Linked DNA regions of Diceros bicornis minor. The protein of the gene in region 1 purifies or fractionates together with the protein of each later gene. This does not show direct contact. Links are inferred from orthologs where the notes say so. Each region holds a gene or a part of one and is shown on either strand. Other genes may lie near its edges. The genes, in order: NCK1, TNIK, PAK1 and WIPF1.

Region 1 (7,831 bases):
GTACTGGTTATTAAACAATTGTTATTGAGCTATCTTAGCTCCAAATTCACCCTTCTTTACTTTCCTCCATGATGCCATGGCTCATACCCTGCAAACTACATTTTTCCTATGCCAGCTGGTGTCTCACTAGGTTCCACCAATAAAGGGCATTAGAGAGAGACTGGAAGACAGGAGAAGGGGAGAAAGGACTTCCTCCCTTCTGTTTGCTTGCAGTTTCTGTCATTGTTACCCCATCAATACGCAATAGCCCTTTGCTCCAGCAGCAGCAACTGATCTCAGCCTTGAGCTTCTTTTGGCACTCCTCCACCTCCCAAACCAGCGTCATCATTCCCCTGTCAGTAGCAGTAGGACCAGCTGGACAGCAGCCTCTTAGGGATCTGAGCTACAGCTCAGCTGGGTCATTCCTCTGAGCTTCTGACACCTGATAGTCCAACTTTGATTCCTCTTTTTCACTAAGCCTTAGGGCGGCAGCTGCTCTCTACAGTTATTACCTCTGGGCTACTTCAGTGTTCCCTTTCTGCTTTTTCAGTCCATCAATACCCAATACTAAATTCTCTCTGTTGTAATATCTTGTGATTTCTGTTTTCTTGACTAATATGTCTCCAAACCTTCCCCAAAGGAACCCACAGTCATTAGTAGGGTGTCTGTGCTTTTGTGAAAATATTAACATTCAGATTTTCTAGGAATTATTAGACACTGGCTTTCCATAGAAATTATCCAGATTGAAGCACAGAAAGAAAAAGGTTTGAAAAAAAATGAACACAGCCTGGAATGACCTGTACTAAGGACTAAGAAGTCTAGCATAAGTGTAGTCTTAGAAAAGGAGAGAGAGAGAGAATGGGGCAGAAAAGAGTATTTGAAGAAATATTGGCCAAAAGTTTTCTAAATTGATAAAAGGAAACAACAACAACCAGCAATTGACAGATCTAGGGAAATACGTGAAACCAAGCAGGATATATGCACAGAAAACTACACCTAGAAACATAGTGTAACTGCTGATAAAGAAACAAAATCTTAAAAGCAGCCAGAGAAAAAGATACATGAATACAGGAAAACAACGATATGAATTGTAGCTGGCTTCTCATCAGAAACAAGAGAATGACATTTTAAAGTGCTGCAAGAAAACCCTTTGATGGTTTCTCATTGCCTGTAGGATAAAGTCTAAGGTCCTTAACTTCCACAACCCGCTATTGCTCACATTTCTCATCATCTTCTGCTCCAGCAGTGTTCTACTGTTGTGTAATACCTTTTTTTTTTTAAAGATTTTCTTTATTTATTTTTTTCCCCCCAAAGCCCCAGTAGATAGTTGTATGTCATAGCTGCACATCCTTCTAGTTGCTGTACGTGGGACGCGGCCTCAGTGTGGCCAGAGAAGCAGTGTGTCCGTGCTCGCCCGGGATCCGAACCTGGGCCGCCAGCAGCGGAGTGCGCACACTTAACCGCTAAGCCACGGGGCCGGCCCTGTAATAGCTTTTTTATCAGGCCCCTCTATGTGGAAAACCCTTTTCTTCTTTGCCCACCTAATTGCTAGACTAGCCTGATCACACAACTCCTTTCCCCCTGTGGCTTAATTTCCCCTGTACATATCTATTGCTGTATTTACTACATTAATAATAAGTATCTGTTCAAATCTCATTCTCTTTTTTTTTTTCTTTTGTAAGGAGATCAGCCCTGTGCTAACATCTGCCAATCCTCCTCTTTTTTTTGCTGAGGAAGACTGGCCCTGGGCTAACATCCGCGCCCATCTTCCTCCACTTTATATGGGACACCGTCACAGCATGGCTTGCCAAGCTGTGCGTGGGTGCGTGCCCGGGATCCGAACCAACGAACCCCGGGCCGCTGCAGCGGAGTGCGCTCACTTAACCGCTTGAGCCACCTGGCCGGCCCCCAAATCTCATTCTCTGACACTGAATTGAGCTTCTTTAAATTTGAGATGGATCTTTAGATCTCCAGTATCTATCATAATGCCTTCCATAAAGTAGACTCTTAATAAATTTTTGTTGAATGCCCAGAAAATTACAACAATATTCAATGCAGAAATTAAATTTAGTTACCAGGGTCCACTAATTTCTATACATCATGATCAAGCCTGTGATTAGTTACTTCTTGCTGTTTAGTAGGTAGGGCTTTTTTTTTTTTTGTCCTAAACAGTCCTGCTTGACAGTGATGCTAAACTAGATCATTCTAATCATTTCTATCATAACTAACTATCACAACTATCATAACTTAATGACAGTTAGAAATGATACCATAAGCTATCAAGTTTCCTGGGAAAGGCCTTGAGACATGGAGGCTCATTTTTCCCTTTCTTGTCTTCCCAAATCCTTTCCTTTGGGATTAATAAAGTAAGCCGCCTGCATGTTTTTATCCTAGACAGATTAGCTTCTCATATCCAAAGCCACATTTCCAGTCCATAGGTCATAAGTTTTGACCTAAATTTTGTTCTTGCCTGATTCTGGCTAGACCCTGGTCTACTCAGCACTAATTAAGAGAAGTGATTCCTGTTTTTGGTTTGAGTTCCTCAAAAAGAGAGGAAGCAGCAGCCTCGTGTGTGTTTACGTTTGAAAGTTGGGGAGACAGTGTGTGCAAGAAAGTGTCTGGAAAAACTTCCACCCCATAAGATAAGAACATGGACTCCATTCCTTCTAAGTACCCTATACTGCAATTTCACACGACTTTCTGCCTCTCTGCCCTTCCACCCAATGCTTTCCTCTTTCGTTGCTGTTTCCTTTTTTCCTTCTTTTATTCCTCCTCTTTTTCATCTATTTTTTGAGTTTTTCTTTTTTTTTAAGAGTTCCTGGTAAGAATGGGTGATGAGAAAACTTAAAAGAAAGAAAACTAAAAGGAAAAAGCATGTTTACAGGGAACTAAAACCCTTGTATGAAAAAGCTCTCTCCCTTACTTCTATTGCTTGAATAGGTGGCACACAAGGGTCAAGAGATTTGGATAAAAATCTTGTGAAGGGTCTGTTTAGATCATCGGCCCCTTCAAAATACATATTCCCTTACAAAATAAAAGCTAAACTTACGACTTCAGCATATTTTTTCTGGGTTTATTTTCCACACTTAAGATGGTGGTATAAGCTACCTGATAGCAAGGACTACTTTACCTGTTGTATTTGTATTCACTCCCCCTGCCCCCATCAAGTTAAATATGTAACTACAATTAAATTGAGCCAGGTTTTGCTAACAGTTTGCTGTGTGATTTTGGAGAAATAGTTTTAACCTCTGTACAATGGTTTCTCCAGCTTCAAGAATGAATATAATAATATCTCAATCCATAAACTTTATGTGTCAACAAATAAAACTATTTTATTAGTCAGCTCGGGCTGCCATAACAAAATACCACAGACTGGGTGGCTTAAACAACAGAAATTTAATTTCTCACGGTTCTGGAGGCTGGAAGTCCCACATCAGGGTGCCAGCATGGTCAGTTTCTGGTGAGAGCTCTCTTCCTGGCTTGCACATGGCCACCTGCCCACTGTGTCCTCTCATGACCGACATCTTCAAGTACAGTCACATTGGGGTTTAGGGCTTGAACATGAATTTTGGGAGAGGACACAATTCAGTCCATAGCAGCCATGATAACATATGCAAAGGTATTTAGATCCTTAGAATAAAGTAAAAATTCACTTATTCACTTTGGATGCTAATAATGGGATGTAGCCATGCAGTAGCTGTTGCCCAGAGTTTCACGGTCTACTTGCCCCAGCCAACTTCAGGCCAGGAAGGGGCCAGAGGTGATTTGTGCTTGATCTCATGATCCCATACGTGGCAAGCAAACCACATAGTCTATCAGCACTCAAATGAATAATTTTAAAGTGAAATGCAGAAAAGTGTGAACTCTTGGAACTTACAGTCAGGGCCAGGATTAAAGCAAGGACAGGAAAATGTATTAATGCCTTAAACAATATTTACTGACGATCTATCCTGTGCCAGGACTGGGGAAAAACTGAATACTGACACGCGTCCTGACTTAACGGAGTTTACAATCCAGGTAGGGATGCGGACAAACTATTTCAGCAGCCTGGATGGGGAAAATGCCTGTGTTCCAGGAAAGGTTCCCTAAGGAGGCCACGCCTCAGCTGAGCCACAGAGGAAGGAATGAGGCAGGTTATGGGGGCTGCAGCACCGGCGTGGAGAACCCACTTCCTGCCGAGCAGCAGGCGGCTGGGGCTAGGCCACTAGGAGTGGGCAGAGCTGGCACCGAGGGTCACTGTCCTCCTCACAAGATGACTGGAAGCTACCCACGCACCAGGACACTTCAAACCCTCTCAGACTGTTTATTTCGGTTTGTGGCTCAAATTAAGCATACGTCTTAAACATTTTTCTCTCAGGTCCTCATTTCCAGGCCTTTTGGTTTCTTTTTCGCTCCCTGCCCCTAAGAACCTTCATCTGACAAGACCTTCTTCAGGCGCAGAAACCAGGAGGAAGATCCCGGAGCGGTTGGGGCTGAAGCAGGGAAGCAGTAATTTTTGCCGTGGAGTCTCCCGCGAAGCCGAGGAGGAGGAGGACCAAAATACTCAGCGCGGAGGAAAAGAAACGCGAGTCAGTCAGACCACCCGCCTCTCACCCTCTCTTTCTCCGCCGCGCAGCCTCAGCTCGCTCCAGGCCCAGCCCAGCTCTTGATTGACAGGCGGGCCAGCCCAATCCCAGCGCGGTGCAGGCAGCTCTCGCTTCAGGGGTAGGCGGGAAGGCGGCGATAGAGCCTATCAGATTGGGCCAGGAGGGGGTTTCCTGCCCGCGACGCTCCGCCCGCGGCCTGGCGGCCAGTCGGAGCTGCAGCCCCGCCCGCCCGCCGCGGGCGCCCCGCCCCTCTCCCGAGAGCTACGCGGCGGCGGAGGGGAGGCCTCGTGCCGTAACGGCCATCGCGGTGGCCGCGGCGTCGTCCCGGTGCCCTCAGGTGAGCTGGCGCCGCCCAGGCTCGGCAGAGGGAAGGTGAGCCGGTCCTGCCGCCGGGCAGACACGCAGTGTCTCCTTCCTCCGTGCGTCCATACAGCCTGTTAACTCGCTGCGTTGCTTCCTCTTCGCCGGCGAAGTTAGCCCTGGGGGCGCCGTCTGCCGGCCCAGAGCTGAGCCGGAGGGGGCGGGGAGGCCGCTCGGCCGGGCCGGGGCGTTTGTCCCGCGGCTCTGCGCGACCTCCGGCTACAGCCCCGGGCGGCGCGGCCCCGCGGCTTCCCTGGCCGCCCCCGGAGTGTCAGGTCCGGGTGAGCGCCGGGCCGGCCGCCCCTGTGAGGCTGGGAGGTGGAGTGTGCAGCGCGCGCGTTCCCTGTTTCTTTTCCTCCCGAAAAAGTCCTGTTGCCTGTTGTGGCGTAATCCGAGGTCGGGAAGGTGGGGACGTGGGAGAGGAGGGAAGGGGCGCGCTCACCTCCAGCCGGAGAGCAGAGGAGGGAGCCGTGCCCTGGGTCGAGGGTGGACATCCTCGGGATGCGCCCTCTGCCCCTCCCCCCACCCCTCCCCACTCCCGGCGTTTCCCTGGTTCTCGGGAAAGCGGGGTTGTTTTAGTGGTGTGGACTGTAGATTTGTACGCGAGTTGCTTGGTATTGGAGCTTTTGCCTTGAATTTGTAACATGTCCGGTAAAAAAAAAAAAAATCTCGGTAGGCTGGGTTTGTAACCTTATGTGTTTTCATAAAAGTTCAATTTGCCGTTAGAAGCTCGGGAAGCTGTTCAGGGGTGAGAACCGTAACATAGGCGCTCAAATCATGTTGAACTGATGAACTGGCCACCTAAAAAGAATTCTGCCCGTTAGATTTGGTAAGGAACCATTGGAGTTAGGCAAGAATGAAGTTGAGGAGAATTTTCTAACCACTTCTTTGGTGGTGAGCAAAGAAACTCAGTGTCCGGTCAAAAGGGGTAAGTGTTGCAAGAGGTATTCATTTTTAAAAATCTTACTTTGGTAGATTTATGAAAAAACCAACCGTAGAGTTTATTAAGCACCTGGAAACCACTGTGCCTAAACCTCAGTCTGCAGCGAGGTCACAAAGTAAATGGAGAAATAATCCAAGAAGACGGTTTTGTTTGGTAGTTGTCAATAATGTTCATTTCTTAAATAGGCATCCCATTGCCAGTTTGATAGTAACGCAAGAAATATGCATTGGTTGGTTAACGGTAGTTTCATGCTATGTTGATCACAAACTCTGGGATTTTCTTATTTGGGCATATTGTGGTCTGCAGGAGTTATATAATAGTGTAAACACTGTAGTGTTCAAGACTTCTCAGCTATGCTTGTTCACGTATTAAATTTTAAATTGTTTGCCTTATTTTTCTAAGCATTATCTTTTAGTCTAGATTTTACCAGTGCTTTCAGGTCGATGTAAATAAAACTTAACACATACATAGAATGTTTTGTTAGGCATCGAGTGATACTGTATGCTGCTGGATTTGTTTTTCTTTTGGACCTTTGAGAACTTTCCTGCCAAAGCTCAAGGTAGGTTTGATGTAATTATTGTTGTCAATCACTTGTCAGGAAGACTTGATTTAAATAAATAGAGATGCAGTCCATTTTTTCGTATCATAATTTATTAAAAACTTTTACAATTTGCTCACCTTTATAATATGGAAAAATACCAAATGTTTTCTACTTACACCAGAAGACTAAATGGTTATTTATTTAGTCTGTAAGTAAAATTGGAGGGAACTCTTGAAATCACTAAGCAATTTAACAAATTCTTCGTAAGTACTTAGCTGTGCTGTTTTAGGAAGACAGCTGACAGGGCTAAAAATGGCATTTAAAGATTATTTAATTAAGGCAACGGTTCTGTCTGGATGATCTTCACTTTATTTATTTATTTATTTATTTATTTTTTTGTGAGGGAGATCAGCCCTGAGCTAACATCCATGCTAATCTTCCTCTTTTTGCTGAGGAAGACCCGCTCTGAGCTAACATCTATTGCCAATCCTCCTCCTTTTTTTTCTTTTTATCCCCAAAGCCCCAGTAGATAGTTGTATGTCATAGTTGCACATCCTTCTAGTTGCTGTATGTGGGACGCGGCCTCAGCATGGCTGGAGGAGCGTTGCGTTGGTGCGTACCAGGGATCCGAACCCAGGCCGCCAGTAGCAGAGCGCGCGCACTTAACCACGAAGCCACGGGGCCGGCCCTGGATGATCTTTACTTTAAACTAAAGATAGAATTTATAGTCTTCCCTTCAAAAGCGATTCCATATGCTGACTTTGTTTTGGTGATATTATCATGCTTTCAGTTACCGGGACACAAACCTTGGTTTTGTCTTTGACTTCCTCTATCCACATAACTTAACATTGGCCAATTTTTGTCAGCCATTTCTTGAAATTTCTTTCAGGTATCTTTTCCAGTAGCTTTTAATTGAGTTTTCTGCTTACCTTTTTTCCCTGCACAGTGTGTCCTGCCTTCTGCCTTAAAATTAAAATAATGCTTGGAACATGTCTCTCACTGTTGAACCAGTGACTGCTTCCTGTTGTCTACAGTGTGTGGTTTAGAATTCCTAGTCTTCTGACAATCTGTTCAAAACCTGTTTTTTCTAATGACAGCACTATTTCTCTGTAGAAGCTGTCCGCTCTAACCAAACCAATCTCTTGTTTAGATTTTGTATTTTTCTACCTTCATATCTGTTGCGCCTTTGAATGCCTATGCATAGCCTGCCTATTCTTTAAAAGAAGTTCTTCCCCTTTAATTACCCAAGTAGCAAATGAAGTCAGATTTTGTTGAAGTTTCATTTTTGGTCCTTCAGTGCGATCTTCCAGCTCTTTCTGTTCTCTACTTTCCTTTGAACCCATAGCCCTTACTGTTTTATCATTCCTTTGGTTTTTAATCTTATGTGGGCTTGTATCATAATATCATGGAACAGCATTGTGG
Region 2 (7,208 bases), on another chromosome or scaffold:
AAAATTTATTATTTTTCATAGTTTCTGTGGGTCAGGGATTTGGGAGCAGCTTGGTTGGGTGGTTCTAGCTCAGGATCTCTCAGGAGTTTGCAGTCAGGCCAGCTGGGATCACAGTCATCTGAAGGCTCGACTGGACTGGAAGATCTACTTCAGGGAGGCTCACTCACACAGCTGGCAAGCTGCATGAATATCCACAGGACATGGTGGCTGGCTTCCCCTAGAGCAGTGGTTCTCAACTGGGGGTGATTTTGTTCTCCAGGGGACCCTTGGCAATGTCTGGAGACATTTTTGTTTGTCACAACTGGGAAGATGTTATTGGCGTCTGGTGGATAGGGACCACGGATGCTGCTAAACATCCCACACCACACAGGACAAGCCCCCACAGCATGAATTATCAGACACATGCTGAGGTTGAGAAACTCTGCCTTAGAACAAGTGAACCAAGAGAACAAGGTAAAAGCTGAATTGCCTTTTACTTCCCAGCTTTAGAAGTCGTCTGTGTTCTATGTTGGAGGGATCTACAAAGGGTTTAAATACCAAGAGGTGAGGCTCACAGGGAGCCATCTTGGAGGGTGGCTACCATAGGCAGGAAGCTTTCCCTGGCCCTCTTCTCTTCTCTTTCTTTCTTTTCTTTTTTAAGTTTTCAAAGAGGAAAATCATTCTTATAACCCCCACCAGACTTTTCTTTAGTCAGTGTTGCATGATATGCCTTTGTCTAAACTAATCATTAGGAGAGAGAATAGAATTACTGTGAGGAGTTTAGACTATTTAACATTCACTCTCCCTCTGGGGCTGGGGAGAACCCATATTCTTTAAACACGTGGAGGATAAATTCTCAAAATCAGAATTTTCCTAGTAAAGAAGAAAGAGAATGACTTTGAGTGGATAACAGTCTGCTACATTTGCTTACCATTGTCTTTTGTGTGGCACATTTTTTTCTGGATTCTTTGGTAGAATATATTTTCCAATGATAATTTAAGAGATGATCAACCATTTGAATCCTTATGTGTCTGAAAGTATGTCATTATTCTATACTCTTTCTTAAATGTTACTTTAGTTGGGTAGAGAATTCTAACAGTTCCTTTAGAATACTTTGTTCCATTATCTACTAGCATCCATTGTTGCTAATGAGGAGTAGGTGACTAGAATTTTCTTTTTATCCTTAATGCTCTGAAATTCCATCATGATGCCTTAGAGTGTAGTATTTTTTACTTATTCACTAAACAGGAGATTTTAGCCTGAAGACACTAGAACATTTTCTATCATTTCTTTAAGTATCTCCTTCCATCCATTCTCCAGATCTCCTATTAGATGAATGTTAGAACTTCTAAATTTATTCTCCATATTACTTAAAATTTTGCTCATTGCTTTATCTTTTTTCCTGCAATCTGGAAGAAAACTAGGCCCAACCTTCTAGTTTACTAATTCACCCTTCAGTTCAGCCTGAGTCAGTACAGCATGGTGATTAAGAGCCTGAGTTCAAATCCTGGCTCAGCCATTTATTACTGTGTTGTCTTAAGTAAGTTAATTAACCTTTCTATTCTTCAGTTTACTCCTCTGTAAAATGAATATGCTAATGATATTGCCTACTTTATAAGATTATAAAGATTAAATGTTAATATATGAATGCTGAGAAGAGTATTTGCAGCAAAGTATTATTATTGTTCAATCTATCTATTCATTTTTAAAATTTCAATAAATATATTCTTAATTAGTCCTCTAACTGGTTTGTTTTCATAACAACCTCATTGTTTTGTGAATGTAAGATCTTGTGTTATCCCTCTGATGATTAAAAAATATATACTATAAAATTTGTTTTTGCTCTATTAAAAATAACTTTGGGTGTTCAATCATTTGTTGATTGAAGTTGGTCTCTCTTTCATAGTAATAGATTTCTAGGGATGATTGGCAATTCTGGGTTGTCTGTGCATCTTAGTGTTTGGAAATCTGATTTGCCTATCTGTGGTGCCAATTCTAATTCTGAGTGCTTGCTCTGCCGAGGGGGGGAGGGGGGCAGGACAGCACATGGTACAGGGCAGGGGATGCAGGTAGTTTGCTTTCTGGGTGTGTGTTCCCATTTCTCCTGGCAATTGGTGAGCAGCTCCCTGGGGTGATACCCTGTCTAATAAATATTTTATTTATTTATTTTTTTTTGTGAAGAAGATCAGCCCTGAGCTAACATCCACGCTAATCCTTCTCTTTTTGCTGAGGAAGACTGGCTCTGAGCTAACATCTATTGCCAATCGTCCTCCTTTTTTTTTTTCCCCCAAAGCCCCAGTAGATAGTTGTATGTCATAGTTGCACATCCTTCTAGTTGCTGTATGTGGGACCCGGCCTCAGCATGGCCGGGGAAGCGGTGCGTCGGTGCGCGCCCGGGTCCGAACCCGGGCTACCAGTAGCGGAGCCCGGGCACTAAACCGCTAAGCCACGGGCCGGACCTGGAGTTTTAAAAATAGTTCTGTTCATAGATCTCAATATCTGATCTTAAATTATTTTCTTTCAACATTGAGACAATACATTAACCTGTCATCTAGATTAAGGATAACAAAGGGACAGAGAAGGGAAAAATAACGATGTTGATGGGAAATGATAGTTTTTAACGTCGTTTCGACATTATTGGTGGCTTACTGCACGTTACTTACAACCTCGAGCTGGATGATTTTATTAAAAACATGAGAGATGAAACCGAGCGTTTTGAATACAACACGTTTAAACGTTTGACGTTTTAATGGTAAAAGCTCCTAAACATTACTGTTGTGGCCACTAAGATGTTGGAATAATCTCAAGTTTCATGATCCACAACGCACATAAATAGATACAGTAATATTAACAAACACAGCACAGCGTATACCGAATGCTGTGTCAAAGTCTTGTAAAGCCTGGAGACGCGATGAACTGACTGCCTTGGCTTTCATTCATTCACTCAAAAGCCTTATTCTGAAGCTGATATTCACATCACACAATTAAAAAACCCGCAGAGCACTTGGCCAGAAGTAAATGCTCATCTTAACAGAGGTGCAGATAATGCTTTCAAAGCTACTGCTGTATTTGGGGGAAAGTTCAATTTTAGCGTTTCTTCGCATGTATTTCGCGTGCCCACCAGGGCTGGAGAGGAGGGGCTGTGCGGGGAGTTGGGGGAAATGACTTCACACGCTTGATAACAGAATGTCGTGTTTACCACTGTAAACGTTCAGTCTTTAAATGAGAAAGCGGGCGGAGTAAAATCGCTCTCACGCGATTTACATACATTTTACGTTCCATCTTCTTCCCCCAGCCAAACTTTCTCCATCAATCTGGGTAGGTCAGCCGCGGAAACGCTGCCTGAAGGGGAAATGCAGGGTCCTGAGGCGGCGAGTGTTGCCATACCCAGTCTTGCTTTTGGAGTTACCTGAAGCATTCAAGCTACTGCACCCAGAGAACAAGCTTCTCGTTTCTATTCGGTCGTTTCCGTGGGGAATTGCGGCACGGGCAGGTCCTGGGTGTGGCGATGCCAAGAGGGAGCTCAGATCTCCCAGCTTTCCCGCTTCTGGCAAACCTTCCCAGCTCCGAAACGGCGAGTGACCGGCCCTCGAGACCCGCCATCCGGAATCCCAGGGACCGCTGGCAGACCCGACCCAGCGGCCGCTGCACATTGCCAAAGCGCGGGGCTGGGCGCGCTGTGCGAGTGCGCTTCTCCCCCATTCGTTCCGCGGCTGGAGGCGGATCCCCTTCCCAGCACACAAGTCCTTATATGCACCGGTTGCACCAGCCCGCGTTACTCCAGCCCCACAAATAATTAATGGGGGCGGGAGGGCGTCGCTCTTTTTTTCCTCTGGATTTTTTTCAGCGCTAGAGTATTTGAACCCTGTGGAGAAACCCCCAGATGCGATTGAAGGGCCATTTTGCTCCAGCGCATGAACTGGACACACAAAAATAAAGCCCCCTTGTCCTCACGATAAGCACGGCAGAGTTCAGGGACAGCTCTTCAAATCCGGCCGGATTAGCCAGCAAAAGCCTGGGCGGAAAGGGTGCGCGCCCCTCCCCCACACACGTTGGTGCAGAGCGACCGGGTCAGGAAGCGCGGCCTCTCCCCAGTCGGAGACCACGCCTCCTCCGCCTCCCCCCCCTTTACTCCTCCCAGGAAGCGGTGATAGACAGTTCTGTGTGGTTCTCCACCCCCACCCCCCCCAGCTGAGTGGAGGAGTTGATGTGTCTCATTATAACAGCCAATGCAGCCGCCATCCACGCACAAGCAAAGAAGCATGTCCCATTTAAATACACCCACGCAGCCCCAGCGCCCTTAGCCGATCAGGGCGCGCAGCCCACACACACCGCGGCTCCGGGCTTGGAGATCCGCGCAGGTTGGGCTCCCGGACCCCGCGGACCGAGGCGCGGAGGATCGGGATCAGGCGCTGTGGGGCGGGGGTGGGCGGGGGAGGCTGGGCCCCGGGCCTCTGGCGCGACACCCGCATGAGGACGCGAGTGAGATAGACCAAGGTGGAATTTCCAAGGGAGAAGCTTCGGGGTGGTTTTGGTCCATTTCTCCGGCAAAGAAGTAGACATGGCGAGCGACTCCCCGGCCCGCAGCCTGGATGAAATCGATCTCTCGGCTCTGAGGGTGAGCACGTTTTGATTTCTTTCCAGTGGTTTGGGTCAGGGTAAATGGGCTCGGTGCGTGGACTGGGGCTGGAGCTGGTGGGCAGAGGTGGGGGAATGCGACGCGGACGGAACCTGGATTCTGGTTTTGATTCCGGGCTGTTGAGGTGCTCTTGGCTAAGCCCCCACGGCAGGGGCTGTGCGGTACGTGTCCTCCTTCGTTTGTGGCCGAGGCTCCCCCGAGGGCACGTGGAGCTTATGCCAGTTTCATCTTAGACCGGAGTAAGAGCATTAAAATGAAAAGCTCGTGTGTGTGTGTGTGTGTGTGTGTGTGTGTGTACACAAGCTCCGGGCAGTCGTCTCGTGCCAAGGCGCGAGACCCCACTGTCCCTTTCTGCAAAAAGAAGAACAGCGTGAATAAAGGCACTGGGTCCTCACGTTTTCCAGCTACCTGCAAGATGGTATTGTGAGCCTGGCTCTCCCCACGAAGCCGAACCTGACCCTCCAAGGGGACAGCTATTGCTATGCTAGTCTTGTCGATGGCAACTGCCGCCCCTTCCCCCTTTTCTGCCCTCTGCGCCCCGACTCCCTCTCAGCGCTCTCTTAAATGCCAGTCTGTCACTCACCTTTATTTATGGCTTTAACTCAGCCCTGCCTGTGCTTTCCGACTCTGTGGCTGTGACATTTCAGTTTTATGGCTGAACTTAAGCAGGTGAAAAGGATGTGTTCTCTGCCTTTCCCCAATCAGACCGGAACTCCCGAGAGTGAGTGAGTGTGAGTGTGTGTGTGAGTGTGTGTGTGTGTATTTTCCCTGTGTCTTCGGCCAGTCCTTTGTAGAGCCCTTCCCTTCCCCTCTCGGCCCCGCTGGTTTGCATTTACCTTCACGTGAATTGCCGTTTCATTGTATTGACTAAGACATCACTGGTATAGAATCCATTTTGCTGTTGTTTTGAGATGAGAATACCAGGAATCCCAGTGCAGCCCCGACGCCACCCCACCCCCACCCCTCAGTCCCAACACACTCCTTTGGGGAAGGGGGCAGATTTTTCTTGCCATTTTAATTAGATGCTGCCTGCGGGGAAGGGGGTGAGGGGTGGGGGTGGCAGCAACAACGGGGGGACTGAGAAGGATTGGACACCAATTGAAGGACGGCTTCTTCCTCTCCTGAACCAAAAATAAAATTAAAAAAAAAAAAAAAAGCCAAAGCCGCTTCATATACTTGAGGCATGGAGGGTCGGTGAGACCGAATTGATGGTGGCTCTCAACGCGGAGACAGGCGGGATGGGTGAAGCTCGGAAGTTCACACGCCCTCCCGAGGAATACATTGTTAGACTGATGCTAAATCTCGGCGCTGTGTACCTGAATCTTCAGTACTTGTGACATTGCCTCCTCATCCACGGTTATTTTAAAGACTTACCTTTATGGTCAAAGTGGTACTTTTTCTTTAGTCTCCCCAATCCCCCCTCCCTATCCCCCCCTTTTATGCTCCCCTTCCCTTTCTCCTGAATCCTTCCATCCAAGAGGTGAGTTTTCTGCAAGGCAGTCAAGGGGTTGAGAAGGAACAAGAGATGCCATTTGAAACTGGCTTTTTTGATAGTTGGGCAGCAAAAGCCCATTCATATGTTCGTACAGTAAGCCGTCTATTGCCCTGGCGCCGAAACGCCACATTCAGAACCCGCTGCCCCCTGGGCAGCTGGGGGTGGGGGTTGGTAACAGGGTGGGTGCTTGGGCCAAGTCTGTGGCTTCCTGCTTTATAGACTGTGTTCATTTGCCCTACTTTCTGCGCTGGGAGTTGCTGCCAGCGGGTTAAGCAGGTGGATAGATGGCCCAGACTTCAGGGTAGGGGAAAGTGGCAAAGGCAGGGCATGAAGTCTGAACAATGGGCAAGGCTTGTGATTTCCCTGAGCTGGAATCTCGACGTCACTCCTCTAATGGAAAGCGCTCTGATGTGATTTTTAAGTTGGGCTCAGTCAGAGGTCTCTCTCGTGGGCTTATTTTCCTGGGGAGGGTTTTCTGAGATACCGAGCACAGAGCCTGCAGGCTTGTGAGCCACCCTGAGGGCCCACCAGCTGGCCTGGAGTGCAATCCACACATGGGAGGGCTGTGATCCTGAGATCTGTGTTTTGAAAAGATATCTTTGCAGGATTCACTGACATTGCTCTTTGTGGCCTGGGCTTAGTGCTCTGCCTCTGTTATTTCTGCCTGCAGGAGGTGTGGAAAGAGAGGGCTAGAGCGAGCTCAGGAGCTGGGGAACTGCTGGCTGGAGAACTTAAATGCCCATGTGGAGATAGATGCATCCAGAGGGCTAGGGTCTGTGACCAGCCCTGTGGTGGGTGAGGTGTGCAAGCCCCGAGTGGGTTCAAAGGCCACATAGGTAATCTCCACAAATCAGAGGGCAGATCATCTCTCTGTCTTCCCAAATCAGGAGAGGTGGGCTAATCTAGATGAGAGGTCCATTTGTTCCTAAATCCTCAGTAAAGCCAGCCTGCTGAGAACCTCCTGGGGAATGCCTGACCCCTGAAATGCAGCCAAGGTCAGTGGCTTCTAGGAGAATTTGATGCAGCCTTACCAGTCCCTTGCTGTTTCGGTGGCTCTTTAGTGTACACAGTCAATGCTCTTTTTGTAAACCCTTT
Region 3 (7,815 bases), on another chromosome or scaffold:
GCAAAAGATCTGAACAGATACTTCACAAAAGAGGATATCCAGGGGTCAGCCCAGTGGCGCAGCGGTTAAGTTCACATGTTCCGCTTCCGTGGCCTAGGGTTCACCGGTTCGGATCCTATGCTCAGACCTACTCACCGTTCATCAAGCCAGGCTGAGGTGGCGTCCCACACAGAAGAACTAGAGGGACCTACAACTAGGATATATAACCATGTACTGGGGTCTCTGGGGAGGAAAAAAAAAGAAGAAAAGAGGAGGATTGGCAACAGATGTTGCCTCAGGGCCGATCTTCCCCCCACCACCAAAAAAAGAAAGAAAATAAGTTTAAAAAAAAAAGAGGATATCCAAATGAGCAACAAACTTACAAACAGGTTTTCAACCTCATTAGTAATCAAAGGGATGAAAATTAAAATAATAATGCAAGATCACTACATACCTGCCTGAATGATTAAAATAATAAAGATTGATAATACCAAGTATTAGTGGGGATATGGAATAACTGGTGGGAGTGTAAATTGGTTCAATTATTTTGGAAAGCAGGTTTGCAATTATCTACTAAAGTTGGTTTTACAATGTGAATGTATAAATGAAACCTACTTAGTCTGTAGCAGACATCTCTGGTACTTGTTGTCACATTCCCTTAGACCACCTCTGAGTTCAGCCGCAATTGTGGTGAACAGTTCCAACTCCCCTCATGCTGCTAGTGTGTCACCTCAAATGTACACTTCACATCTTTCCTTATTCTGCCTCTGGACCTTCTCTGACATCTGTAGTCACTTGCTAGACTTGCAAACAAAGCCACAACGTCTAGGGGAGTCAACAGCCCTGGGGATAACCCTCACTCAATGAGAGATGGAAGCCAGTAGACAAAAGCTCTCATCTTCCAGGTGGTCTATTCTGGGAGGCATTCTGTATGCTTCTCTGAAGTTCTGACAGAAGTGAGAACCTCAATAACACACGCTACATTGGCTTTCCCTTTCTCTCGTCTCATTCCAGTTTCCTAGGATTGGGAAAATAAACTACCTACACCGAAATAAACTACCTACACCCAAGTATTTATCTCAGGCTCTGATTTTGGGAGACCTAAACTCAGGTAGTTGAGACCAAGAGTTATCCCAGAGTAAAGACCCTCAGGATGGGATTCTGGACTGAATCACTCACTGATCATACGGCAACAAGGACTCTATTGTTGGTGGTAAGTTGAGCAGTGATAGACCCTGACATGCTGTGCTGTCCCAACAACCAAGCTCTTCACTCGCGGTAGACTGGAAGCACAAGTGGAAGGAGAACATCAGATTATGCAGTAACTGTAGCACAGGGATTCTCAACCTTTTTAATTTAATTTAATTTTAAATATTACCCTCCTAAGGAGAGAAATTAAATTAAATTTAAAGTATCCCAGGTGGGGGGTGGTCAAATGGTATGAACTTCCAGTTGTAAGATAAATAAGGTCCTAGGGACGTAATCTACAGCATGGTGACTATAGTAAACAATATTACTTGGTATATTTGAAAGTTGCTAAGAGAGTAAATCTTCAAAGTTCTCATCACAAGAAAAAAAAATTTGTAACTATATGTGGTGATGGATGTTAACAAAATTTATGGTGATAACCATTTCACAATATATACATGTATCAAGTCATTATGTTGTACACCTAAAACTAATACAATGTTATATGTCTATTATATCTCAATAAAAAAGTACATAAAAATAAAGCATCCCTGGCCAGAGAAGTTAAATACTAAGGAATAAGATTTTGTCAAATAGGGTTGAGATTTGGAGGCCACAAACCATTGTAATATCTAAGATATTTTTTCAGTTTTCACTTCCTTTGGGGAGATGTTGCCCCCATTGAGAATGCATGCTCTAGCACTTGAATGGTATGGGGGTAATGTTAATTAATTTCGTAGCATTGGCTTGATTTTGTTAACTATCTTAAAAGCCTTGAAGAAAGAGAATTTCAGGCTCAGGTCATCCACCTGTCAATTCAGGACCAGGTATGAAAGCCAAAAGAGCTCCATGGAAGATTTTTTAAAAACTCTCTTCTCTTGAAGCTGGAAAGCAGACTATGCTGAAAATCAGGCCCAGAATGTAATAGTTAGGGTGGCAGAGATCCTTTGACTGTTCTCTTAACGCTAAAGCCAGGGTTCTTGTAGGTGGGAGTGGGACCCCGAGGCTGGGATGGAGATATTTGGGTGGATGCAACTGAGAAGCTTGCACCTCTAGCAAGTAGCCCTCTCCCACTTGTTAGGATAGTGCAGCCGCCCTTGATCTGAGACTGTTTTAGTTTCCTATTGCTGTTGTAACCAATTATCACAAATGTAGTGCTTAAAACAACACATATTCATTATTTTATAGTTCTGGGGTTCAGAAGTCCAAAATGGGTGTTACTAGGCTAAAAGGTGTTGGCAGGGCCCTGTTCCTTTCTGGAGGCTCCAAGAAAGGATCCGTTTTCTTGCCTTTTCCAGCTTTTGGAGTTGTTTTTATTCCTTAGCTGGTAGCTCTCTTCCTCTGTCTTCCAAGGGTGAGCGGAGTGCTTCTCACATTGAATCACATCTCACATCTGACCTCTTCTGTAGTCTAATCGACTTTTTCCTCACTCTTCTGCCTCCCTTTTCCACTTTTAAGGAACCTTGTGACTACATTAAATCCATCTGGATAATCCAGAATAACCCCCTCATCTCAAGATCCTTAATTTAATTACACCTGCAAAATTCCTTTTGTCATGGAAGGTAACATACTCATAGGTTCTGGGGATTAGGATGTGAACATTTTTAGGCAGCCATTATTCTGCCTACACAGAGACCATGCAAAAACAGTTTCGTTTAGAATAATTCACTGTCGGTGTAAGTTATTTAATCCCCCTTTGTCTCCATTTCCTCATCAATAAAATGGGGGAATAACAGTAGTTTATCTCAAAGGGTTGTTAGAGGTTTAAAGGAGATAGTGCTTAGAATAGTATCTGGCACATAGTAAGCACTATGTGAACATCTATTAAATACATTTTTATAACATTGATTCTTACTATGTGTCAGACACTGGGGATCCAGATAGCATGGACAGGAATATGACTTGCTTTCGAGGGGCTCAGGGAGTCAGATACACAAGTACAGTTACCACACAGTGTGCTACACGCCATAAAAGGCAGGGAAGTACTACGGATTACAGCATTGTGAAGGCTCAGAGAAACTAAGAAATATTAGTCAAATGAATAAATGAACATGACATTTGAGCTGGACTTTGTAGAATGAATGAGTGTTGGCCAATGACATAAAGAGAGAAGAGCCCAGAGAAATGAAGAACTGTGTGTTCAAAGAACATTAAGTAGTATTTCAGTGTGGCTGGAGCAAAAGATAACATGTGTGAGAGGAAGCTGGAAAGGCTGTTGTTAAGCACCAAGGTTGTACAGTGCCAAGTTAAGGAGTTTGGACTTTATCCTAAAAGCAACAAAAGCCTTTCAGAGTGTTTAAACAGTATTTAAAAGTGATCATCATCAGATTTGTGGTTTTAAAAAGCTACCCTGTATGTAAGAATGGATTGGATTTGGAGAGGCTGAAACCTGCTCCAGTTGTCCAGGAGGTAGTGAGTGAAGAGAAGGGCAAGGACTCAAGAAATATTAAGGAGACTCTACAGGATTTGGGGACTAATTTGATAAAGGTGTTGAAAGAGGAAGAATGAGGGCTATGTCCATGTTTCTGGCTTAGGGGACTGCTGGATGGTGGTCCACTCACTGAGACCAGGAAACAGCATGAGTCACAAGTTTGGTGGAAAATGGTAATAGGAATAGCCAACATTCCCAAGGGTTTAATACGTGCTAAATTGTAGTTATTACTATTAGGGAAAAACTGGGGCTTAGAGAGATCAAATTAAGGATACTCAGGTACTACTTATTATGGAGAAATTGTGGCTTGGAAAGGTTAAGGTCCTATCACTAACATTTCTACAGCTGGGATTTGAACCAAGGCAATGATTCCCTTAGCCACTAACGCTGTTTTGGACTTGTGGAATTTGAGGTACAGTCGAGTATGCAAACGACGCTGTCCACGAGGCACTCGGAAATACAGAATCTGAGCTCAGGGGAAAGGTTTGGGTTGAATGTAGCCTCAGTGGTAGGAGAAAAACGGGAAAGGGAACCCATTTATTTCAAGATAGTTCAAACCTCCATTGTCATTTCTTTGTCTCCCTGGCCCTCCCCCCGCAAAGAAAGCAAATAGTATAATAAATGTCTGCCTTTGAGGTCACAGGAGATGAGGTAGTTTTCAAATTCAGCTTTTGGCAATGACCCAGAGGATTCTGTGGTGCTTTGTAACCCGAAGACCACAAAACCAGGGGATTAGCTGTCTTTTTTGACCCTGACTACACCACCAATGCCTCCAGAAATCGTCCCCAAACCTTCCCGGGGACAGGGCACGTCAAAAAAAGCCTGCACCGGCAGACAGTACGGGGTGAGAGGCGAGACGCGGGCGCAATGACGTCACGCGGTAGCCGGGTGATTCCCCACCATCTGGCGTCATGCGCCGATGACGTCATTCAAGGCGCTCCCCATCCCCCTCGCCTGGGTCGGCCTCGCTCACGTGTCTGTCCGGTCCTCCCCGCCCCCTCCCACCTGCGGGAGGCGGGGCTGGCCGGGCTCCGCCGGCGCCGAGGCCTCGCGGGGGAGGGGCGGGGGCCGGGGGAGGGGCGGGGGCCGGGGGAGAGGAGGTCGGCCCGGGCCGGCGGCATACAATAGCGCGGGGCGGGCGGGGGAGGCGACCCGGCCCCGGCTGCATCTGGAGCCCAAGGTGCCGGCAGCACAGGAGACGCCCCTCATTGCGTCCCTCGCGCCTCCCTCACCGCTCTGCCGTCCTACTCCACAGACGCTTCCCCTCGGACTCCTGTCCCCTCTTTCACGCGCTCTCAAAACCCTTCAAAGAACCGTCTCCCCACCTCCTCCCCCAGAGTCCGCCCGCGCCCCCTCAAGGCCCCACCCCCCACCGCACCCCCTCAGCCTCGTCGCCCAGCTCCCTCCGGCCCGCCTCTCGGTCGCTGATCCCCCCTGTCCTGAGGGGACTCCCGGCACGAGCGGGGTGGGGGAGGCGTCGAGCGCGCGGCGGCGGCGGGAGGGAGAAAGTGAAGCGGCTCCCCGTGCGCTCCCTTCCCGGCTCGGCCGCCGCCACCGGCTGGAGGAGGAGGAGGAGCCGAGTAGAGCCGAGTGAGCGCGGAAGGTGAGAGCCGGCCTCCCGCCCGGTACCCCCGGCGGCCGGGCTGCCCGGCGGGGCGCGGGCGTGCTCGTGGGCGCGGGCGCGGGGTGAGGGGCCTGGGCCCATTCATTCCGCGCGCCGGGGTCGGGCGGGCGGCCGGGGGCCCCAGGTGAGGCAAGGCGGGGCTGGCCGCTCCTGTCGGACCAACAAAGGCCCCCTGCACCCCCGGCGCGGCCGCCGGGCTCAGGCGCTGGGGACCCCGGGGACCCGGGAGGGGGCAGGGGAGGGGCCGGGAGCCCCGACAGGTCCCGGGCGCGGAGCGACTCCCTCGCGAACTTTGCAGTCGTCCGGCGCTAACCCTGGGCCCCCACGGGGCAGCCGAGCACAGGGGCGTCCGACTCATTCTGCCTGGAAAACGCACCCCTGTCCGGGCCTGGGACTCACCTGGAGGGTTCAGCTCCTTGAAAAACACGACTGGATGGTGCTTGGGTTTGCAGCCCCTCCCCCACCCCGGGTACTCGGCAACTTGTGGAGTTAAAAACACAGGGAAAGGAGAATTATAGCTATTTTATGTTCCTTTTTCCATTTCAAAAGACATTATTATAGCCTTTACTGTCTTGAATATTTTAACAGCAAAAAATGCTGGGAGTGTTTTGGAAGAATACTTGAGAAGTTTTGGGTGTTGGGAGCAAAGTGCTTGTTTGTTAAACCCCTTGGATAACTGTCTTAGACTTTCCCCTCCAGAACTGTGAAAGGTGAAGGGAAGAGTTAGTACTACGGTTACCAATAAAAATTCAAATGCATTAGTCTAGCCTTTATTTTAAGAATTGTTCCTGAGAAAATTGTTTTAGTTTTTCCTCTTGTGTTTTTGGACTCTCACAACTTTGTCAGGAGAAAACAGTCAACAGTACACGGTACATAGATGCCTCATTGGTCTCACCTTGTGACTTCACCTACTTCCTGTGTGACCTTGGGCAGGTCACTTCCAGCCTTAAAGCTCCGGGGGTTTGCATTTATGCCCTAGAAACAGGCAGGTAACAAGCGCCTACTCAGCCTTCAAGACTCCACTGAAGAACCCTCTCCACCCCATATGAAGTCTTTGCTGGCATTCACCCCCAAACTACTCAGGCAAAACTGACTTCTCATTGAGGCCCTCAGAGGCCTGGTAGGGTTTCTACTACAGCACTTGTAACATTCTTTGTTCCTATTTGGGAAATCTTAAACCAGGTGCATATGAAATCCACTTCACCTCACCTAGAAACTCCACTGCTCCAAAACGGTTTTGGGAACATAAACCCAGAAACAGTCTCTGAAGCTTGTCTATAACCTTACCTATAGGGGCTCCTAGGTCTGGCTGGTAAATTTGCTTTATTCAGTCATTCATTTACCCAACATTACTGGAGTCTGGAGAGCTACTCTGTTTCAGGTCTCCTGCTAGAACTATGGGGGCTGTTCAGACATTCCTTGTCTTTATAAAGAGCTCAAAGTCTAGTGGGTGAGGTCGGCATGTAAACAATGAAGGCCTGCCCTAATCTCTGGGGGACTCCCGTTGTACAGGGAGTAGGGTGCAATAATTGAGGCTGCTGGACCTGCTTTACAAGTCTTGTCCTGGCCAAAGTGAGTCCTGCAGGGAAGGTGGTGACCTGTCTCTCATTTATAAGACAAAAAGCTTGTTCAGTTCAATTCAATATCGTTTACTAAGCACATTATGAAGCCCCGTGTTAGGCTTGGAGGAAGCAGTGCTTTCTGAAAGGCGGGCACTATGTCTCCAGAGAGATCTTTATAAAACAAAACCAATCACGTTTTTTCTTCCCACCCTTGACTAGTCATTACCTAAAGATAAGTTTTCAAACTCTTGAACATGAATAAGAAGCTCTCAGAGATCAGACTACGGCCTCCCTTTGCCCCTTTACTTTCTGTTAACTCCCCTGCCATCCTCTTTCTCATTTCTACTTTGGCACGTGCTGTTCTTTCTGTTCAGAATGCCGGCCTCCTACCCCCTACCTGTCGGTGGATAAGTGCTTGTTGGACTTCTGGGCAGCAGCACCTTAATCTCTTCTCCTATTACTTCCTTAGAATGAGTCGCTCTTCCATCCTCTGGTTCATGTATATACCACTCTTACAGCTCTCCAGCCCTCTATTGCAATTATTTGAGTTTATGCCTGTCTTTTCATTAACCTGTGAATTTCTTGAGGGCAGGATCTGTTTAGTTTTAGTGCCTAGCAAAGTTCCTAGCACTGAGTAAGTGTTTGAAATGAATGAATGAATGTATGAATGAAGAAGCAAGTCAAGACCCATGAGACAGAGGTTACCTGATCCTTTGGGTTAGAACAATAGCTCCAAGTGTTGTGCCTGCACCAGCAACATCAACATAATCTGGGAATTTGTTAGAATTGCAAATGATTTGTCCCATCCCAGACCTACAACTGAAAAACTCTGGGGTTGGTGCCCCAAAACCTCTGCTTTAACAAGCCCTCCAGGTGATTCTGATATCTGCTAAAGTTTGAGAACCACTATGTTAAAAGATCTGCTCTTGATAAGACCAGCTTCTTGCCAGGTCCCTCCCTCCCTTCTTTTTTCTCATAGCACTTACTGCTTGACATTCCATTCCATTCCATTCTATTCTATTCCATTGCAT
Region 4 (7,909 bases), on another chromosome or scaffold:
GAATAGCATTACTAAGCTAACTGAAGGTTTTCTGGGGGCTTTGGTGAGCCTAGAGTTTTTATTACTCCAAAGTATACAAAAGGCAGTTAGTTATTTTGACCTGACTGTAATCCCTACGTGGTGAGGAACAATTAGCAAATGTTGGGCTGGGCAATACAACGAGGCCGAGGGAGGAAGCATTCATTTGTGGCAGGGAGGCGGAACCTGAACTGTTCCTCAGTTGGAGCTGTGAGGGTGGAAAGCAATGTGAATGTGTTTATTAATCTTCCTGTGCCTGACACACAGTAGACACTTAACAAATATTTGTCAAATGGACAAACTAATCAAGGACTGACTCCCTCCAGCTGGAAGTAATTTCACTCCCCTCTAAATTCCCTTTATTTGATCTGTACCTTTTTTACCTTATTTACCACATTCTGCCTTGCATTCTTGCTCTTTGAAACCATGTCTCATCTCTACCAGAAGGTAAGCGTTCAGGGGCAAACTGCATCTCCTTCTGAGCTAGGTCTCCCCTTCTACTCCTAGCACAGGGCACAGCATCGACTCCATCAGGGAACTTCAATGTCAAATGAGTATCTGGCTTGATTCCAACTGTGACCTGACTCACATATGTGGGTCCTAGCCATTCACAGGTGTAAGCCCACCAAACCTTCCAGCACCATGGCAGAACCGTGGATTGCTAGGACATAGAGGCAGAGCATCCTCTGTATGGAAATCACTAGCAACTTGAGAGACCTCATTGGAGGGCAGGCTTCAGGAAGACCACGGCTCTGAGATACAGAATCCCAAATAGCAGATACTTAAAAATGAAGGGGGTACAGCAACAAATAAAAGGCACTTTTGTTTAGTTTTGTTCTCCTGGTGGGCACTGTAGAAACCATGTATGTTCCTAAAATGACAACCATAGTTAGGAGCACCCTGAAATACCAAAGACAGTGACACAGACCCAATGACGAACACTTCCCACAAAAGGGGGCTCATTCCTGGCCAGAGCACCAAGACACTGTAGCTCTTATCGCTCTTGTGTCTTTGTGCGACCACTGCCTGGTGTCTGGGTGTCCCTCTAATGCCTTGTGCCATCACGTGAGGCTTTTTGCTGTTTCACACTCCATTATCCCACTTGACAGGCCAAAGGGCACCAGTAAGTGGCTGAACAGACAGTAGACACTTAATTGGTCAAATGAATACACAAATGAAAAAAGGCCTGAATCTCTCCAGCTGGAAGTAATCCCATTGTCTCTAAATGTCCCAGAATTTGATCTTACCTTGCTTACAAATCCATTTGCTTTACATCACACAAACCTAAAAGAGTTTATGTGCTTCTCAGGAAGCCAAAGTTATGGCAGAAGTTGGGTAGGTCCCAAGGAAGAAGATGATGTTATTAAAATGCTTTAGTAACACCTGCAGAGTTTAATTTGCACACTTCCATTCAACAGGTAATAGAGTCCTACAGGTGGCTGGGGATTTGGTCCCTGAGAAACTCAACCTTGTGGGGACGATAGGCAGGTAAAGACAGCAAGAGCAGAAGGTAGTATTTTGAGCACTGTAAAGAGTGACTGAGATGCAAAATGCTGATGGCCTATTTGGGGTTCTCTCATCTCAAGAAGTCCAAAGGCGATTTACAAACTGAAATAGAAAATATCCTGGAGTTATTTTATCCGCAATAGAAAAAGGCATTTTTGAGGAGGAAAAACATGCCAACGACTCAGAATGAAGCTACAGTATTGTTCTGAATTGCCTTGAGAAACTGGCAAAAGAAAACCCACCCAGGGCGGGCCTGTGTCCAGGGGCTCCGCTGCTGCACCGCCTGCAGTCTGGGGTTACACGCGGCCAGGGATTGGAGGTGCGGTCCGGGGACTATCCAGGGGACAACAGTGACACGCAATTTTCAGAAAAAGGGACCAAGTCCACCCAGCCACTACTGACAACTCGAGAGTCTTCCTGGAGAACTAAGATAAGGCCAGCAGCCCCTGGCCCAGGAAGGGATATTCCTCCGAGATTAAGCAGGACCAGAGATTTAGCCAGGCCCGGTTCTTCACACAGACACACCCTTTGTTAATCTCAGAGAGGTCAAAGTCTAAGCACCAGTTGAAGATTTGGGTCGCCCCGACTGGGTCAGCTGGTTTCTCTAACATTTGCAACTTTTTTTAACTGTACTTTTTTAAAAAGGAAGAATATGTTAATTGAAAAAGGTTGGGGGAGTGAGACGAAGTGAAGCTGTCCGGAAAGTTCGGGAGAGGCCCGGGAGAGACGCTGACGGGGACTGAAAGTGCCTCTAAGGTCAACGCAAACCTAAGGCGCGCGTCTACACCCAACCCAGAGCGAGCACCCGGCCGGAGGCTAGTTTGGGAGCCGAGCTGCGGGATGGGCACGATGCCCTCAGCGAAGAAGGCGAGGCGGTTCCAGCGCACGAACTGGCCCGGGGATGCCCGAGAGTCCATCCGCCCGAGCTGGGGGTGTAGCTGCGCCCCCAGAGCATCCCCGCGAAGCCCGGGCCGCGGGGAACTGCGGCGGGAGCGGGTCCCGAGCCCCTCGGGCGGCCCCGGGGCCGGCGGAGCCCAGGAAGGCGCCCAGCCCGGGGGGCGCCCGCGTCCGGAGCCCCACCGCCCGCGGCCCCCTCCTCCCTGAGCAACCGCCGGACCCGCAGGACGCGCGGGCCGCGGCGCCCCGAGCTGCGCCCCTCCCGAGGCCGCGCGCCCCGACGTCCCGGGCCGCCCCGCCCGCCTCACCCGCCCCGCGCCCACCCGGTGCCAAGGGCGCTTCTGAGCCCCGGCGTCGAGCCCGGCCCCTCCCTGGCGTCCCGGGCGGCCGCGGGGCTCCTCATGGGCGCTGCCCTGAGACCCCGGAACCGGGTGGCGCCCGAGGCGGCGGCGGCAGCGCGTCCCTTACCGCGCAGCGGCTCCGGGCGGCTCCAGGGCCCCGCGGCGCGCAGGGCATTTTTGGGGAAACTTCTCCCTGGTCCGTAGGGCTGAGCCGGCCGGGCAGGAAAAGCGCTCAGCGCCGGGAGGCTGCGACCATCCGGGAACTTCGCTGAGATGTAAACCCTCCCCCTCGGCTCCCCGTCCCCCCCCTGCGGCCCCGCCACATGTGGACGCGCCGCGAGGCCGCCGCCGGCCCGCCGCCGTCTCCTCCGGGCGCCGCGCCCGCCCTGCCTGTCCTGAGCCTCTGCGCCCCACAGCCCCGGGTCCCCCCGAGGAGGCGGCGGGAGTGCGGTGGGCAGGAGGCTGGGGCTCGTGTGTTCCTCCGTCCCCTTCCCCAGCACAGTGAGGGGACGCGGCCGTGGGGTCCAGGACAAGCTTTGCAGAGGAGCGGGAACTGGAAGGGGGTCCAACCAAGGGCCCTTTCCCCCAAAGACTGCGTCCTCTCCAGCTTCCCGCCGCTGGGGCTCCCCTCCCGCACCCCCAGGGAAAGCTTTTTCCCTATCACCTTCACCTCTGTTCTCAAAAGAGAAGATCCGGCTTTGAGACACCTCGAATTCAAATTCATTTTAAAAATGAATTTTAAAATGGAGTGAAACCCACAGATCCCCAAGGTCCACACGCATCTGTCTCCCCGCCCCCTGTGTGGGGACAACAGTGCTGCTCTCCCCGTGGAAAGCTGCCAGTTCTCCCCACCAATGGGTTGGATTCTTTCAGTAGTTTTGCTGCTGGCGGGGATGGCTCTACCATCAGCCACCCACATCCTCAAATACGGTAGGATCACAGCAAACGTTTGGAGAAAGCTGAGGCTCTCCTCCATTGCGAGAGCTGTTACCACGCCCTGGTCAGCTCTGAAAGCCGCCACCTCCAGGCCCCAAAGAAAAGTTAACACTAAGACGACACAGATATTAGAATGTGTGCGTTTGAAAAGAACAACAACTTTTGATCAATATAATAACCATTTAATCGTATTGTTAAAAGACCAAGGCTGTGTATCCCTTCGAATAAAAACAGAAAAAGTGGGACTATATGCGCTTCAGAACTGATGTCCTAGGCTGAGGAGGTTGTTCATCCTTAACTTTAGGCTGTCTCTGTTCCTACGCTATTCCCAGGTGCACACTTGTACCTTGACATGCTCTTAACAGACACAATAACCCTTCTGGGAAAGAGATTTGGTAACATGGGTAAACTCTTCCCATTGACAAACTTTTGTCCCGAAACATACCCATCTGTTTAAGATTCATTATATATTTGCTTTTCTTTTAAACGATTTCTATGGTAATATGCACATGTTATGTTTTGTATAAAATGAAGACAAGTGAGTTCATATATCAGTATGTTATTCTAGACTTGAAAACAAATCAGGGCCAGCCCGTGGCTTAGCGGTTGGGTGCTCGTGCTCCGCTGCTGGCGGCCTAGGTTCGGCTCCCCGGCACGCTCCAACGCACCGCTTCTCCGGCCATACGGAGGCCACGTCCCACACACAGCAACTAGAAGGATGTGCAGCTATGACATACAACTACTGGGGCTTTGGGGAAAAAGAAATAAATAAATAAAAGTATTAAAAAAAAAAAATCAATAGCACTTATCACAGCGTGGCATGGAAGTGAAGCCCAGGAGTTGTCTGATTTTCTTACCTGCTCTCTAAGCCTCAATTTTTGCTTCCATCAAATGGGGATAACAATAGTTTTTATCTGCTAGCTTGTTGTAAGGAGTAAATGTGATAATCCCTCTAAAGGTGAGTAGAGTAGTGGCACACAACTAGAACAGGAATCTCACTTACCTTTGATATCCCCAAGTCCAGCAGAGCTCCTGGCACCTTGTAAGGAATTGATTAAATAGTTGTTGGGATAAGAACTCTCTTGAGTTTATGTCTTTCAAGAATCTATGTAAATTTTAGCATTAGTGTACACAAAAGAAAATCAGCAAGGTAAAATGCATGCCCCCTCCCCTTATTTCATCATTGGAAGCCAGAACTAAGTGGCGTTCGGAATTGTCCGCTGTTTTAAATCACCAGTAAGGCCAGTGATCAGTTGCCCAGAATGCGCCTGGCTCTCTCTTCTCAGATCCAACACTTCTCTCAATAAGGTCAACGTCTGAATAGTATTTTATCACTGGTAATTTTCTTGTTTCCCTAAGTGGGCTATGGTTATGTAAGATGTTAACATTTGAAGAAGCTGCGTGAAGCAAATATGGAAACATTTATTACTATTTTCACAACTGAATTGTAAATTTGAAATAATTTCAAGCTGAAAAAGTTTTTTTAATTAAAAAAAAAGATCAAAGCCTAAAATTCTACAACAGATACCTTCTTCCCTTGGGTGATGCCAAATCATAGCTTAAAATGAAGATACTGAAGTTAGGAGCGGGCAGAGGTATTATGCTAAAACTTTGCAGTCATGTACACTTTTGTATAAATGAGTTAATAAGAAAAAATGGCTTCTTGAGTGCTGCTTGAAGACAAAGCTAGGCTGGAAATGTTATAATGATCTTGGGATAGGGGAAGGGAGGGAGACAGAAGGACATTGAGACTGGGAAAATTAAGACAAATTTACCAGAGCACAATATTATTAAATACATGTTTGCTTATCATTTCCATGGCTACCATTTTGGGACATACCTTGACCTCTAAACTAGCCCTGTAGTGCCTTAGAAGTTCTGCTCTTATAACAATTACTTTGGGGCCGACCCCATGTTGTAGCGGTTAAGTTCCCGTGCTCGGCTTCAGTGGCCTGGGGTTCGCTGGTTCGGATCCTGGGCACGGACCTACTCACCACTCATCAAGCCATGCTGAGGCGGCGTCCCACGTAGAAGAGCTATAACTCTACAACTATGTACTGGAGCTTTGGGGAGAAAAAAAGAAAGAGGAAGATTGGCAATAGATGTTAGTGCAGGGTCAATCTTCCTCAAAAAAAACACAATTATTTGTTTATTGTAATTGCTTGTTTAATGCCTGTCTTTCCCCTGTAGACAGTAACCCCAATTTGGGGGGAGGGGCATGTGAAGGGAACTGCCTGCCTGGTTCACCGCAGTATTCACAGTACCTGGCACATTCTTAGTCCTCATTACCACTTGATGAATGAATGCCAAGCACTAGGCTTTTACATCTAGTATCTCATTTAATTATCACAGCAACTTGGTGAGTTAGATATTTGTCCCCATTTTACAGATGAGGAAACTGACTTGGAGAGCTTGGGTAACCCACCCAAGATCCCTCAGCTTGTGAAGTTCAGAATCCAGATTATTTTGACACTAACATCCTTGCTCTATTATGCATACTGTCTATTAACTTGACTTCCTGTGTTCGTTCCATCTCTGAGCTTCTGCTGGTATGAATGACCTGAATTGACTAGCGTCCAGATTCCTTTGTGCAAAATAGCAAAAGAAGAAAATATTCTATTTATATTTGCAGAGAATTATTGGGGTTCAGGTAGATCTGGTTAAAGGCGCCATAGTAGCTTGAATGATTTTGGTTCTCTCTTCTGAATTAATGCAGGGAGGAAGTGGAATGCTATGTGGGATAAGAACACCATGACAGCCAGGGCATGGTGCAGGGAATCAGGGTCTGCTGGAGGGAAGGAGTCTGGCTGGTGCTTGGCACCCAATGGGTGGTCAGTACATATTTAGTGGATTGACCAGTCTCTAGAACTGAGAAGACCGACCCCTTGAATGCTGAATGTTTTACTTATTTGGGCCACAACTTACTCCAAAACTTAAAACAGTAAGAGTTGGATATGACGAAACTTAAATCTTAGTCTGGGATGGCAAATTTATTATGTATTTTCAATCTTTATCATTTTCGTTCCTTACTAAAAATATGTTCTAATTCTAAACCATTCAAGTGTTCCATAGCATAAATGTAGAAAGCATCCCCCACAATCCCATTCTCCAGAGATAACCACTGTAATGGTAGGATGTATATTCTTCTCCATGTTTTTTTTCTATGTATCCTTATTTTTTTTAAATCAACAAATATTTATGGAAAGCCTGGGGAATGGGATCATACTATACATCTTCTGTAATTTACCTTTCTATTTCTACTAAGTAATCTATTGCATTAGTTTCCTGTTGCTACATAACAAACTACCAAAAATTTAGCAGCTTAAAACAGCATCCATTTATTATTTCACAGTTCTGTAGGTCAGAAGTCTGAATATGGCATGACTGGATTCTCTGTTCAAGGCATCACAGGCTGAAATCAAGGTTTCAGCCAAGCTGAGTTCTCCTCTGGAGGCTTTGGAGAAAAATCCACTTCCAAGCTCATTCAGGTCAGTGGCAGAATTAAGTTCCGTATGATAGTAGGACTAGGGTACCCATTCCCTTGCTCTCAGTCAGCTGGGGGGCTGTTCTCAGCTCCCAGAGGCCACCTGCATTCATGTCATGTCTCCATTCAGCAATGGAGAATCTCTCTCACGCTGAATCTCTCTCACACTTCCATTGTCTTTTACCAGGAAAAACCCAGTCCCTTTTAAGGGCTCAGCTGATTACATGAGCTCCATTGAGGAAATTTCCCTATCTTAAACTCGACTGATTTGGGATCTTAATTACAACTGCAAAATCCCTTTACATCAGCATCTATATTAGTGCTTGCTTGAACAACTGGGAGAAAGTGTGTGTACACCAGGGAGTGGAAATTTTGGGGGCCAGCTTAGAATCCTACCTACCATAGACATCAAGGTTTATCTTTCCATTTCCCTAAATATAAATCTACATCATTCTATTTAATAGGTACATAGTCTTTCATGATGTATTATATATTGTATATTATATGTATGATGTATTATAATTCAACCAAATCCTCTATTAGAGAACATTTATGTTACTTCCAGTTATTAGCCTTTTAAAAATGCACAATAAACATTCATGCTCTCAAATGCTCATGCACCTATGTACTTCTGTAAGTTAGTATCCTAGAAGCAGAATTGCAGGGTGGAAGGGTTTGCCCTTTTTGATAGATACTGCCAAATTGCTCTCCAAAATGTGAGTACCAA

The links.
Region 2: the proteins of NCK1 (region 1) and TNIK purify together in Homo sapiens (affinity purification with mass spectrometry; 3 studies listed by BioGRID and IntAct, with this or other methods). This does not show direct contact. The link is inferred for Diceros bicornis minor from reciprocal best matches to the Homo sapiens genes NCK1 and TNIK.
Region 3: the proteins of NCK1 (region 1) and PAK1 purify together in Homo sapiens (affinity purification with western blotting; 8 studies listed by BioGRID and IntAct, with this or other methods). This does not show direct contact. The link is inferred for Diceros bicornis minor from reciprocal best matches to the Homo sapiens genes NCK1 and PAK1.
Region 4: the proteins of NCK1 (region 1) and WIPF1 purify together in Homo sapiens (co-immunoprecipitation; 5 studies listed by BioGRID and IntAct, with this or other methods). This does not show direct contact. The link is inferred for Diceros bicornis minor from reciprocal best matches to the Homo sapiens genes NCK1 and WIPF1.

What each region holds. Positions count from the first base shown.
Region 1 is NC_080741.1:16,032,735-16,040,565, reverse strand, and holds the start of NCK1 (cytoplasmic protein NCK1), read left to right. Parts: upstream 1-4,824; 5' UTR 4,825-4,902; exon of another isoform or gene 4,903-4,937; intron 4,938-7,831. UniProt on the Homo sapiens protein: Adapter protein which associates with tyrosine-phosphorylated growth factor receptors, such as KDR and PDGFRB, or their cellular substrates. Maintains low levels of EIF2S1 phosphorylation by promoting its dephosphorylation by PP1.
Region 2 is NC_080754.1:50,589,135-50,596,342, forward strand, and holds the start of TNIK (TRAF2 and NCK-interacting protein kinase), read left to right. Parts: upstream 1-4,198; 5' UTR 4,199-4,540; coding exon 4,541-4,597; intron 4,598-7,208. UniProt on the Homo sapiens protein: Serine/threonine kinase that acts as an essential activator of the Wnt signaling pathway. Recruited to promoters of Wnt target genes and required to activate their expression. May act by phosphorylating TCF4/TCF7L2.
Region 3 is NC_080746.1:53,894,068-53,901,882, forward strand, and holds the start of PAK1 (serine/threonine-protein kinase PAK 1), read left to right. Parts: upstream 1-4,804; 5' UTR 4,805-5,201; intron 5,202-7,815. UniProt on the Homo sapiens protein: Protein kinase involved in intracellular signaling pathways downstream of integrins and receptor-type kinases that plays an important role in cytoskeleton dynamics, in cell adhesion, migration, proliferation, apoptosis, mitosis, and in vesicle-mediated transport processes.
Region 4 is NC_080749.1:55,574,795-55,582,703, forward strand, and holds the start of WIPF1 (WAS/WASL-interacting protein family member 1), read right to left. Parts: upstream 3,002-7,909; 5' UTR 2,890-3,001; intron 1-2,889. UniProt on the Homo sapiens protein: Plays a role in the reorganization of the actin cytoskeleton. Contributes with NCK1 and GRB2 in the recruitment and activation of WASL.